Linked DNA regions of Caenorhabditis elegans. The protein of the gene in region 1 purifies or fractionates together with the protein of each later gene. This does not show direct contact. Each region holds a gene or a part of one and is shown on either strand. Other genes may lie near its edges.

The links.
Region 2: the proteins of ZC581.2 (region 1) and kgb-1 fractionate together in Caenorhabditis elegans (co-fractionation; one large-scale study listed by BioGRID). This does not show direct contact.

What each region holds. Positions count from the first base shown.
Region 1 is NC_003279.8:6,653,777-6,659,069, reverse strand, and holds ZC581.2 (non-specific serine/threonine protein kinase), read right to left. Parts: upstream 3,463-5,293; 5' UTR 3,356-3,462; coding exon 3,324-3,355; intron 3,274-3,323; coding exon 3,153-3,273; intron 2,940-3,152; coding exon 2,726-2,939; intron 2,512-2,725; coding exon 2,327-2,511; intron 2,042-2,326; coding exon 1,944-2,041; intron 1,902-1,943; coding exon 1,739-1,901; intron 1,696-1,738; coding exon 1,573-1,695; intron 1,152-1,572; coding exon 1,082-1,151; intron 824-1,081; coding exon 801-823; 3' UTR 699-800; downstream 1-698. Other genes in the region: ZC581.3 (CPG4 domain-containing protein), read right to left, coding at 3,767-4,038, 4,084-4,294, 4,766-5,259.
Region 2 is NC_003282.8:405,103-412,122, reverse strand, and holds kgb-1 (GLH-binding kinase 1), read left to right. Parts: upstream 1-2,089; 5' UTR 2,090-2,166; intron 2,167-2,250; exon of another isoform or gene 2,251-2,361; intron 2,362-3,226; 5' UTR 3,227-3,236; coding exon 3,237-3,302; intron 3,303-3,345; coding exon 3,346-3,437; intron 3,438-4,087; coding exon 4,088-4,217; intron 4,218-4,260; coding exon 4,261-4,376; intron 4,377-5,084; coding exon 5,085-5,169; intron 5,170-5,218; coding exon 5,219-5,390; intron 5,391-5,559; coding exon 5,560-5,820; intron 5,821-5,866; coding exon 5,867-5,973; intron 5,974-6,031; coding exon 6,032-6,175; 3' UTR 6,176-6,502; downstream 6,503-7,020. UniProt on the Caenorhabditis elegans protein: Mitogen-activated protein kinase which is an essential component of the JNK pathway composed of mlk-1, mek-1 and kgb-1.

The DNA.
Region 1 (5,293 bases):
GACCGACGGAGGCGTTCTCCACGTCTACATGTACTTGTTCCTATCGCGCCCTGATTATCAATTCGTGGTAACGGTGCCTTTATGTAATCTGTTCTATAATTTTTGGATCGAACACATCTCCAAGTTATTTTGACTTTCTTTAAACTCTCAAACTCTATATTGAAATAAATTTTGATAGAAAATCTTTTAAAAATTAATCAAAATGGCTGTTGAATCGCGCGAAACTTTTTAAAACAATCTTGAAATTTCTGAAGAAAATGTTTCAGGTGTTCGATAGCTAGTTTGAATAATTGTTTTTTTTAATGTTTTTACCAATTTGAGTCCAATTTTTGACTATCTGCGCAAAACTACTGTAAGCTTAGATAACATTTTTCGAAATATAGTCAAAACCGATCCGCAGAGGCAAACAATTTACTGAAAAGTACCCGCTTTTGCTGATGCATCTTGTGTCCACATCCTGATGGACACCCTATATAATGTGCGCAGCAAAAGAGCGGAGCAATTTTTCCAAATATGTTTCAACACGGCCTTTTCTCTCTCAAGCAAAGTCAAAATTCCAGGACGCGGCGGAAAGGAGGGCCTACATGGCTTCATTGTCCCAATTATCGCAATTGTCAAGAATGTTCTAAAAGAATCTTCTAGCCAACGGCTTAAAGAGCATTCCCTACTTTTCCGGTAGTTCTAGGTAAGTCACAAGATCATTTGATTGTATTTATTTGTAATACTCAAGTGGAGAGACAACTGTCTAGTGGAAAGAATGGAGTTCAAAGGAAGGAACATACAAAATCACAAAAGTTCAATTACGAGCTGTCAGTATTCGAGCCTGAAAATATGTTTAAAGCTCCGGTATTACCGGTACAGATAGTGTAGATAGTTAGAGAGTGCCAGACATCCGGGACCCAATGGGACGGGGCGCGGAAGAGACGATTTGTGCCGATTTACGAAATTTTCCTCGTTGTCATCATTTCGTAAATCGACACAAATCGTCTCTTCCGCGCGCCCCGCCCCGTTGGGTCCCGGATGTCTGACACTCTCTAACTATCTACACAATAGGGAAAAGAAAAAAATAAAACTTTCGTACTTCCAAGTGCATCACGATAGTTTTCATCCCAGTCATACGCCTCACGCAACGATTTTCCTCTGGTCATGTCCTGGAAAATTAAATTGTTATAAATCAATTTTCAAGCAGCCAAAATTTGCAGCGCCCGCACAGGTTTCATTTAATTTGGAGAAAAGAGCACAACGTCAAACTATGATATCTCAGTTGCTATTATATCTATCAACAAAGTTTTCACTAACAAAACGTAGATCTTAAAATTTTAAATACTTTGCAGTTGTGAGCTCTCTATTGATATTTTAGACAAATATTGTAGGAAAACAGTACCAACTTCGAAATATCTAGTGCGAGATACTAGAAAGAGTTCAGCTAACAGGGATTTTTGTGAAATTTATATACTGGTTGAAAACTTTTTGATAGCTCTGTTGGTGGCAGGGATTTTAGTTTTTTTAAAATTCAAATTACGTTTTCTACGTGGTAAGGAACAATCACGATCAGTTCAGAATTTAACTTACACAAAGCAAATTTTGCAATGAAGAATGATCGGGCTCATCCTCCGATCGCAAATTGAAAATCGCTCCACAGAACACGGAGAAATAGGGTCCGGTGAGCAGCAAGTATGGAGAGTTTGGAGTATTCTAAACAAACATTTTAAAGGTACAACTTTTTAAAATCACGTACAAAGTCCACTTTAGTCTGTCGGATGTCATCAGTGCTCACCAGTTTCCAGGGAAGGTTGACAAGGAGAAGCTCAGCCCCAGAGTAGGCCATTGACACAAAGTCATCAACTGGGGTCTGTTCTTTTCCATCGTGGACACGCACAGACGAGTAGCGCAGTGTCCCTCTGAACAATTTTCTGAACTTTCTGGGAACAATTTAAAGTTACCTAAAACCAGGTTTGTATCTCTGTTTACGACGTGTTCCATCCACGTTCTTGAATCTTCGAACCATCCCATAGTCGACTAGCTTGAGCACATGACGAGTCTGAAAATTGGCAAAACCTGGCTCTAACCTGCTCAAATAGCCGTAACCCAAACAATCTTTTAGGCATTAAAAAAACTACCGTTACCTAGGCATTAAAAAAACTACCGTTAAAAACTACCGTTTTTATACAACGTTATGCTTAGAAGTGGTGGTATACTAAGCATAAAAATGCAACATAATGTCACGTTTCAATTATATTAGCAGTTTAAATAGAAATATGTACATAAATGGAGAATTTATTTTTGGAAAACGGGTATTACATACATAAATATCAAATATTCTTACACTTTGAGTAACTCCAAAGCACATATTTGCAGGTTTCACGTCTCGGTGAATGTAACCAAGAGAATGGACATCCCGAAGTGCAGCGATTCCTTGGATCATGATTCGTGCGACTGTGGTTTGGCTCAGACGTTTTACTGGGCTTCTTTTCTTCAGATCACCAATGTTTGGACCAAGAAGTTGCATTACTAAAAACTTGACTGTTTTTAGTACGCACCGCTTTTGCTGTGAACTGGCAAAAGTCGACTGCGCGTTGCAAAATATTATAAATGTTATGTTTTGCAACATGTTAGAAAAACTTTTTGATAACTTCAAATCCCGCGAAGATGTACCGGTCGCTGACTTTCAGTGACACTTTATATTCTGCAACATTGAAAGCTATAAAGCCTCAAAGAAACCTACCAATAAAATTCAATTGCTCCGTGTGTCCCGAAGCGCACATAATGGGAACATGAGGTCTTCCCTGCAGACGGTAGAGAACTTTTTGCTCCAAGATCATTCGTCGTCTTGGCCTTCCTTTCAGGACCACTGGCTCAATTTTGATGACAACATCTTCCGGGAATGTAGCGTCTGAGCCGTAGTAGATTTGGCCGAAACCTCCACGTCCGATAAGCCCCTAAATTTTTTAATTTAATAAAAATTATAAATATTTGGAAGTGATTCTGCGCAAAATTTCACATTGATCAAAGAAGTTTTTGAAAGCTCGAACCGCTTATGAGAACGTTTTCATTTTTAGCATCAAGAAATCATGGGAAAGGGAAAGGCGCAGACGTGGTTTTTTTCAGTAGCCATTTTTGTAGCATTGCTTATTGTTTTGAAAATCCCTTACCTTCACCATAAACTTTCCGCGAAACATTTGATCATTTGACAAATACTCAGAACCGTTTCGATCTTTCAACATCGGCACATATGGCTTCACTTTTGGAATTGCCAATCCATCTATCAAGATCCTGGAAAAATTGAGACCTGAGTTCTGATAAACTTCAAAAACCAAACTTACACAGTTTCTTCAGAACGCTCCAAAGTTTCCATTTAATTTAACGCGAATATTGAGAAAAGGAAATAAATTGATTGGGGAAACTAAAATTGGATACAAGAGGATTTCTCCAGTTTTTCACGTCAAAATTTCTTTTTTAACTTCCCTGACCGTTCTAAAAAATTTTCAGAAAAAATAACAGTACAATGTGCAAAGTATAAACGTGAACGAACTTCACTACGAGTTGTTTTGGATATATTTTTCGGACGAGAAGTTGGGAGACAGACACATCCTCGTAAAATATCTATAGGGTTCTTGAGAACTATCAAGTTTGTTCAAACAAAATTATTAGAATTTATTGAGTGAAATTCGAATGCTACAAAAAACCATACACGTAACAGAATCATGATAATAATTTCTCATGACTTTTTCTTTACATATCTTCAGAGAAGCTGCTGCTCATTTTCTCATACAGGCGGACTTCCTTCGTCTTTGTGCACATTATAACTATCAGTTCGTGTAGAACAGAAGTATGCGAGAAGAAGGAGAAGTACGAGGAAAATGAGACAAGTGACAAGTGCAATGAGCCCAATTACAATCAATGTTTCATTTGTCGATGGGCCACCCGAGTCTCCACTGAGAAGATCATCGCCTTTTGTTGGAGATGTCTCAGATGTTGAAAGTGTGGAAGATGAATTTTTGAATTCTTGACGACGATTTTCTCGTTCTCGTTGTTCGTCTGGAATAATGAGAGATTTGTAACTGACTTTAATGTAAGACACACCTTGATCTACATCCAACTGATCAAAATTTAAAATTGGTTTTACAATAACTCCGCCATGAAGCCATGGTTTCGGTTTTCCACTTGTTGTTTTCTTTGGAGTTTCAGTCGTTTTATAAGATATTGTAGATGTGGACAACTCGATAATTTCATTGGAAGTTGTCTCAACACCAAACAACGTCGATGTATCAATTTCCAGCGGTTCTTCGCTATCCTGAACATTGAAATTAAGTTTACATAATATCGGCATTGAATAATTGAGTTTCGCAAGTTTAGAATAGGTTATATTCAAAAGCACCATTTGAAGAAGAAGTAACGGTAGTTTTTGCTGAAATAATCACACAATGGCTCTAAAACTTCGAACTCGAATGCGACTACTCACAAAAAATCTCAACAATGTTTAAAGTTTTTCTCAACAATGTTTAAAGTGTAATAATCTCAACAATGTTTAAAGTTCTCCAATTTTTTTTTTGGGAAAAGGGCAAAGTTTAGCTTTAATTTCTAATTTTGGTTTTATTAAATCTTTTTTTTTGGAATAAGACATATTTGAATCAAGAAGTCTCATCATGAAAGTAGATTTTTGGTGTATCATTAGTTATTTAAGAAAAAAAACCCAAAACCGTTACTCGTCCTTCAGTTCATGAATAATGTAAGAAATAATAATACAGTAACATTCCAAATATACCTCTAAATCTAAATTATCAGCGACATAATTTGACCGTGTTGTACTGTCATAACGATTTGATGAATAAAAGAAGTTTGGTGGTGTATTCTCCATACTATCTTCCGAAAATACTTTTCGCTTGAGTGTTGTTGTTTCAATTTGAATCTCTTCTCCGCTTTCTTCCAAATCTTCTGATTCATTTGAATTAACAATATTTGGTGGGGTCAAGTTTAAAAGTTGATCTGGAGTTGTCACTTCTACGAGTGCATTATCTTCCGATTGTTTTTCTTTGGAATCAGCGTCCGAATCTGATTCTGATAATCTTGTTTCAATAGATACCACACTAATTGTTGGATGAGTTGTATTATCCGAGTCATGGTATTCATGATCTTCATCATAATGGTGATCAGTGTAATCATGATATTCAGCATTGTGATCCACGTCCTCTTCAGTTTTGTCATTGAGATGTGTTAGAGAGTTGGTGGAAGTACTTGGACTGATGAGTTGAGTAGACTCTAAATTAATAATAACAGTACGTTCCCCGTTAGT
Region 2 (7,020 bases), on another chromosome or scaffold:
CACACGCGTCCATTCTCAGAAAAAAAACACGAATAACTGCTGTTTACCACATTGTACTTTCATCTCTCTTTCAAGGAACTATTTTTTTATTTCTATGTATAATTTTCTTGAGAAGAAGTTTTTATTTTTTAAATAGATACAAACTTTTTTGCGTTGAAGAATTGTTCAAAAAGGTAGTTAGGATAGACAAAAATTCAAATTCAAAACTATTTTTCCAATGAAATTTATTATTGTTTGATCAGTGAAAAAAGTAATATAGAACATCTTTTGTACAGTACACTAATTCGATTTGTGTGCATCTTTACAAAATTGTCTCCTTCATCCAAAAATTGGATTCTAGAAGTAAATTTCATAAAAACAGTATTCTATTATTTTTGTTACGAAAATATTTCACAATTCTCGGAAGAAAACGAGATGATTGTGGTTATTGGGTAAGTGTTCAAAGAATATACATAGAAGTTCCAAATTTAAAGGTGGAGTAGCGTCTGTAAGTTTTTTGCCATAAATGACAGAATAGAGACCCAATATACTAAATATAACTGTTAAAAAATGTAGAAAATGTATGAAATTTTTCTAATTTTTTAATGATTTTTTTCTTAATTTTACAAAAATTTAAAAAAAAGGACTGAATTAAATTTGAACTCCCGCGCAAATGAGTGACGTCATTTTCGAAACTTTTGCGTTTTCAGCCTATATTAATAGGTTTTTCTTCATTTTTCCTTTGTTTTATAATTTGAAATACAGTCTGTCAATTTTTCAGACTAAAAGAAAATGTATGATTAATTTTGAATAATTAAGCCAATTTCAGAGTTTCGGTAAGTTTCTTCGCAATTATCAAGTTTGAAAAATGTTTGAAAAATTGAAAAATTATGTTTCAAATTATAAAACTAATTGTAAGAATAAAGAAAAACCAATTAGTTTGGCCGTAAAACACAAAATGTCGAGAATGACGCCATTAATTTGTGCGAGAATTCAAATTTAAATCGGCCTTTTTGAAAAAATCATAAAAAATTTATTATTATTTTTTGATTTTTTAACAGTTATATTTGGTAAATTGGGACTGTATTCTGTCATTTATGGCAAAAAAACCACTACTTCACCTTATAATTTAAAATTATCCAACTCACTATCTCTGTGTTTCATTTTAGCATCGAGTTATCACTTCCGATGACTAACAAATGGGAAATCTAAGGAATAATGCAGAGATTGAAAAGAATTAGAGAAACAAACAGACAAAATCAAGTATTATTTAACAATTGTAAAGAACAACCAAAAAACCCCACAGGAAAGACCACACAGAATGTGGACCCACGACTTTGGGAGATTAGGCACCTACGAGATTTCATGGCCCAAGTTAATTGGGTAGCGCTTTGAGTTGTCATAAATGTTAATAATTGAGAAAAAGATATTTAAAACTTAAAACGTACATATTAAACTTATTTCTTATAGAATTTACTTTCAAAGCTTTTATTATAGGCGGTCGATTTGTTCTACGGCAACTCTATTCTCCAAAACAGAGTGGTGTCTCTTTTCTGTCTGATTCTCTACTTCTCTACACATTTTCAATCCTAGGTGTGTCTCTCTCTGAAGGATGAAATCTCTATTTCTCTGCATCTCCTATTTGGCTTCAGCCTATCGCTTCTCTTCCGCACACAAACATTCACTCAGTGACGTAACTTTTAATACCTACACTATTTCTCTCTTTCGCATTGTCAACTTATATATATATATATGTATATAGATCATTCCTGTACTATTTAATTTTTAATTATAACTTTTTAAAAAGGTTATTTATGATTTAAAAAAAACAAAATCTAAAGTGTCTTTAAAGTGTAAAAGTAAAAATTGGCAGGCTGGGTATACTGCCTTTTTTCTTCAAGTTTTCGAATCTAAGTAAAAATAAAAAATTTCCCCTGCTTTTTTAATACAATTTTAGTTTGAATTTTACTTGTTGAGAATAATAGACTTCAATTATCTCGATGCAGTATTATGTATTTCACTAATAATTAACAGCAAATACCTCAAAATTACCCCGAACTCGAACTATTGCTAGAATAAACCATTCGAGTAACCCGTGTATTTATTGTAGAGTTCGTGAGAAAAGGATTAAAGGATTAAAGGACGATCCGTTCTTCAAGCGCTATGCACTGCGGATCTGGGAGTCAGGTACACTGCCTGGTGGTGATCCCACTAAAAAAGTAATTAGAGTATTATAGAAAAAATACGATCGCCCAAAAATAAACAACGGCGCAACGACACTCCGCTGTTTCTGAGACCCGCCCACGATTTCATTTGCACTGCGGCCGACACATTTCAGTGCAAATGAAATCTTGGGCGGGGTTTAGAAACGGTGGAGTGTCATTGCGTCGTTGTTTATTTTTGTACGATCGTATTTTTTCTATAATAAAGGTTTAAAAAAAAGAAACACACTATTGGATGTTACATTCCAGTCAACTTGATACCTAAAATATTTAAATTTTCCATTGAAATTAGTGTTGACTTTTGTTTCCTAAATACGAACATCCTTTCAAAACCAAGCGCAAAAAGTGTAAGATCATTCACAACTGAAGTCAAATTTTTGAAGTGTGAACATTTTTTGCGTCATGCAAATATGAAATATGAGTTTATGAGTCGATTAAAAAACATAAAAACCCAAACAAAAACGCTGAAATTTCATTAAATGTTAAAAAATGACTTCTTTATTACAAATCCAAAGTTATGATTAAACATTTAAAGATTAGCTGCAAAGATTATTTATTAAACTACATATCTTTCTATTTTTAGTCTATTTTTTAAACATTGTCAGGTTTAGTTTGCACTTCAAAAAATGAAAACTGTATTTCACTAACAATATGTACATATATCCCCTCCCTCATTTTTTTTCACTCCAGAAATGGAAAGTCAATATTTGGAAAGAAAATAATTTTCCAAACTGTTAGAATCTCCGTTTTTAAGATTTATTGATTTCTACGTGGGTTGAAATGACTCAGTTTTGATGAAACTCAACAATTTTAAGGCATTTTTATCAGTTCCGGTTGGAAAGGAAAATCAGAAACATTTTTGCAAGTGATAAGAATTATGAAATTTTTATAGATTTTTTCAAACGTTTATTTGGAAATTGAAATTATACTTTTAAAAATTTAAGAAAAGCTGAAATTTAATGACTAACGTTTATATTTAATTTTTGAATTTTAAGTATTTCTCCCTGAAACTAATAACTTTTTAGGCACAATAAGATGGAAGTGGATCTGCCGGTACATAACGAGTATGATGCGTCTAGATTTCATCAAGTTACAATTAGGGTTTGTTACTAGATACTTTACCTCCATTCAAATTCATTTTCAGGACCCGATAGCCGGCGCGGACAGCACTTTCACTATTCCAACTCGTTATGTAAACCTTAGTTTTCTGAATGCCGGCGCCCAAGGAACTGTCGTGTGAGTTTTTACTAATTACATTAATATTTTATTGAAGGAAAAATAATAGGGCGAATTTTTTAACGCAGTAAACAAAAAATTTCAATAGACAAACAAATATTAACACTTCAAAGATGTTAATCAAAGATTTGATAGATTGCCAAATTTTCGAATAATTTTTACTTTTTCAAACATTTCACACTTTACTGCAAATTATAGCCCCAATAATGTTCAAATACCAAAAGATAAAATAAATTTTTTGAAAGAACTATGAATTTTAGTCATTTTAGAAACATATGGCTGGTTTCAGAGAATCCTTTCTCTGGTCGTACTCCATCTTTGAATGTCTCACTGCCTTTCAATTGTATATTTTTACACTTTAACTTTTCTTCGGTTTTGCGTAATTTCAAACACTGACACAATGATGACTTCCCGAAAAAAAACGGACCGCCCTATCAAAAAACTTTTAAAACAGGTAGAGGTCTCGAGATCATTGTTATTCGTCATTGCCCGCTGCTCCACCTCTAAGATTGAAAAAGCTTGAAAAAATCAATAATCAAGAAGATCTTCTAGAAGAATGAAAGTGACTGAAATTAAATTATCGCGCAAATGACTTCAAACAGAATTTCTAAGTTAAGTGAACAGCCATAATTTTTATTGATTACATTTAGAATGGCCGATGACCTAGTAACAACGCAACGTGTGGCAATCAAGAAGATGCAACAACCATTTGTGATGACAATGAGCGCAAAGCGAGCATATCGAGAGTTTATACTGCTAACGACTATCAAACACCCAAATGTAAGATTCAGTTGGAATCTAGAAAAAATGCTCCAAATTTCAGATAATCCGTCTACTAAACGCGTTTACACCGGACACTTCACTTTCAACGTTCCGAGAAGTATATCTAGTTATGGAATTAATGACACACAATTTGCACGAGGTTATACATCGATTAAGGTAAGAGACATGGTGGCTGATTTTTATGATTTTTTTTCAGTAATACCAATTTTTATAGTAATATCTAGTATACTAGACGTAATTTAAACTGTATATGATGGACTTGTTAGAGACTAATAGACGTAAAATATTATTTTTCTGTTATTGATTTTGAGAACAAAAGAATAAAAATAAAACAATAGGAAAAGCACGATATCTTAAAGAAGGAGTGGCGGATTCATTTTTGCTCTAATAAACTCAGAACGACTCCAAAATATCAACCTTTTTTGTCTCAATTTCACGTTTAATAAACATATTCAACAATAATAATAAGTTTATTGCTGACACTTTTCAACAAAAAAAACTTTTAAAAAAAGAAAGAAACAAGGGCAAAAGCTAGACTTTCAATTTTGCCGTCTTTCGCGTTTCCCAAGGTCGGAAATACATTTTTATCCAACCTTGAGTACCCACTTGGAAATGTGCCGAAACCATCATCAAAACACGCACAGTTAGCTACCAGAACACGCGTAAAAAAATAAAAAAAATATTCCAGCGTGTTTTGAAAATTTTTGGTCAAGATTTTAGTTAACTACCAAAAATCAGAATTTTTAAAAAAGTTTAGAACACTTGCACATTTGAGCTCCTATTCATGATTGTTCAATGATTCAATGATTGAATATTGAATATAAACACATAATTAGATTCTAAAAAAATTTTCTGAATTATTAGATTGGACCATAAAACATTATCATTCTTCGTCTACCAGAGTTTGTGCGCAATCAAGCATCTTCACAATTCGGGAGTCATTCATCGTGTACGTATCTACCACTATAGACAACATTCTGAAAAATTCAAAGTTTCAGGACTTAAAACCATCGAATATTGTCGTCAACGATCGATGTGTATTAAAAGTTTTAGACTTTGGATTGGCCCGGAAGAAGAATGTGGACACATCGATGAGAATGTCAGATTATGTGGTGACAAGATACTACAGAGCCCCCGAAGTTATATTAGGTCTTCCCTATTCGGAAAAAGGTTTGTTCGAAAAAAAAAAAAATTTTTGTAATTTTGGGCTGGACTTCCATCTGCGCTCCGGTGAGCCGCCTCAAACAGCCTCACGCCGTACGTATCCGCATGTAAAGTGCGCGTAAAACCCCAAACGTGTCGGCCGCTTCCAAACAACACTCTCAATTCATAATTGCAGTAGATATTTGGTCAGTCGGATGTATATTTGCTGAAATGATCAACCATACCGTACTTTTCCCTGGAAAAGATCGAATTGATCAATGGACTAAAATTTATAGTGTTTTGGGAACACCAGATGATCATTTCATTAGTCAATTGGGTCAGTCAGCTGCTATGTATGTTCGATCGTTGCCACGTCATCAGGCACGAGCATTCAGTGAAATCGTTCCTGATACCAATTTTCTGCCGGAGACTGAAAATCCAAGGGTCCATTTGACACGTGAGTCAGGCTATACAGGATTTTGAAAAATAAATCATATTTTCAGCACACGTGGCTCGTGATCTCCTGTTCAATATGTTGAAAATCAATCCTGAAGAAAGGTATTCAGTTGAAGATGCACTGAATCATCCATATGTTAAGTTGTGGTTTAAGGTACAACAATTTTAGCACTAAACAAAAACAATCAAATCATGCATCTCAAATCTTACAGGACGATGAGGTAAACGCCCCCGCATCAGAAAATCGATACGATCAGGAAATTGATTTTGCCGATAAGACACTTATTGAATGGAAAGAGCTAATTTTCAACGAAGTGCAACGCTATCAAGCCGACCACGACATTTTCACTGGATAATAAATAATAAAAAACCTAAAATTGTTTCTTTTTCTCTCAAAAATAATTGTGTTACTTTTTTCTTCAAAAATCTATCTTTCAGTTGTGTTCTGTCACTTAGTTGGCCATATTTTCTGGTGATTCTCTGCTTATTTTCTATATTGATTATAATCACTAAATGTTAATTATTTTGGAATACAGATTTTTTGGAACTGTTTTGTTTTAAGTATAAGAAATTGAACCTTAGCTCCACAAAATTTGCATCTCATTATAAAGTAGGGATTGTTTTTCGATTGTATTGTCAGGTTTAAATTCAAAATTCTAAATCAATAAATTAATTTTTTAGGGACCAGGTCCCCTATGAGGTCGCCACAGCGGCGCCCGCGCCGGCCTCACAGCGTCAATCACAGTGCATGTATCCGAATATATAGTGCGGCAGGGAACCCGATCGTGAAGTCCGCGCCTCACTTAGCTGGGAGACCTATAGGTTTTTTTTCTTCAAAACGATGCTTTAATTTTTGTTCTCAAAAACAAAATGAAGCCAAAATGGGAATCCAGAACGACCGGACATTAAATCACACAGATGGACAATGGTGGTCTTGAATAAGTACATTTATTTCACAAAAATTGAACATTCAGTAAAAGATGAGGTTTGAAGACTGAAAAGTGGGCTGGACAACAGAAAATCGACTTTTGGGTAGTAAAAGATTTTTGATATAAAGATGGGAAATAAAGTATATGGACATTTGGACAAAAAGAGAAACAGAGACGCCTTGAAATGTTTTCAAATGATTCTTTTAGTATTCTATTCTAGAATTAAGAAAAGCGGATGGAAAATATTTTTTTGGAATCTTGATATTTTGTAA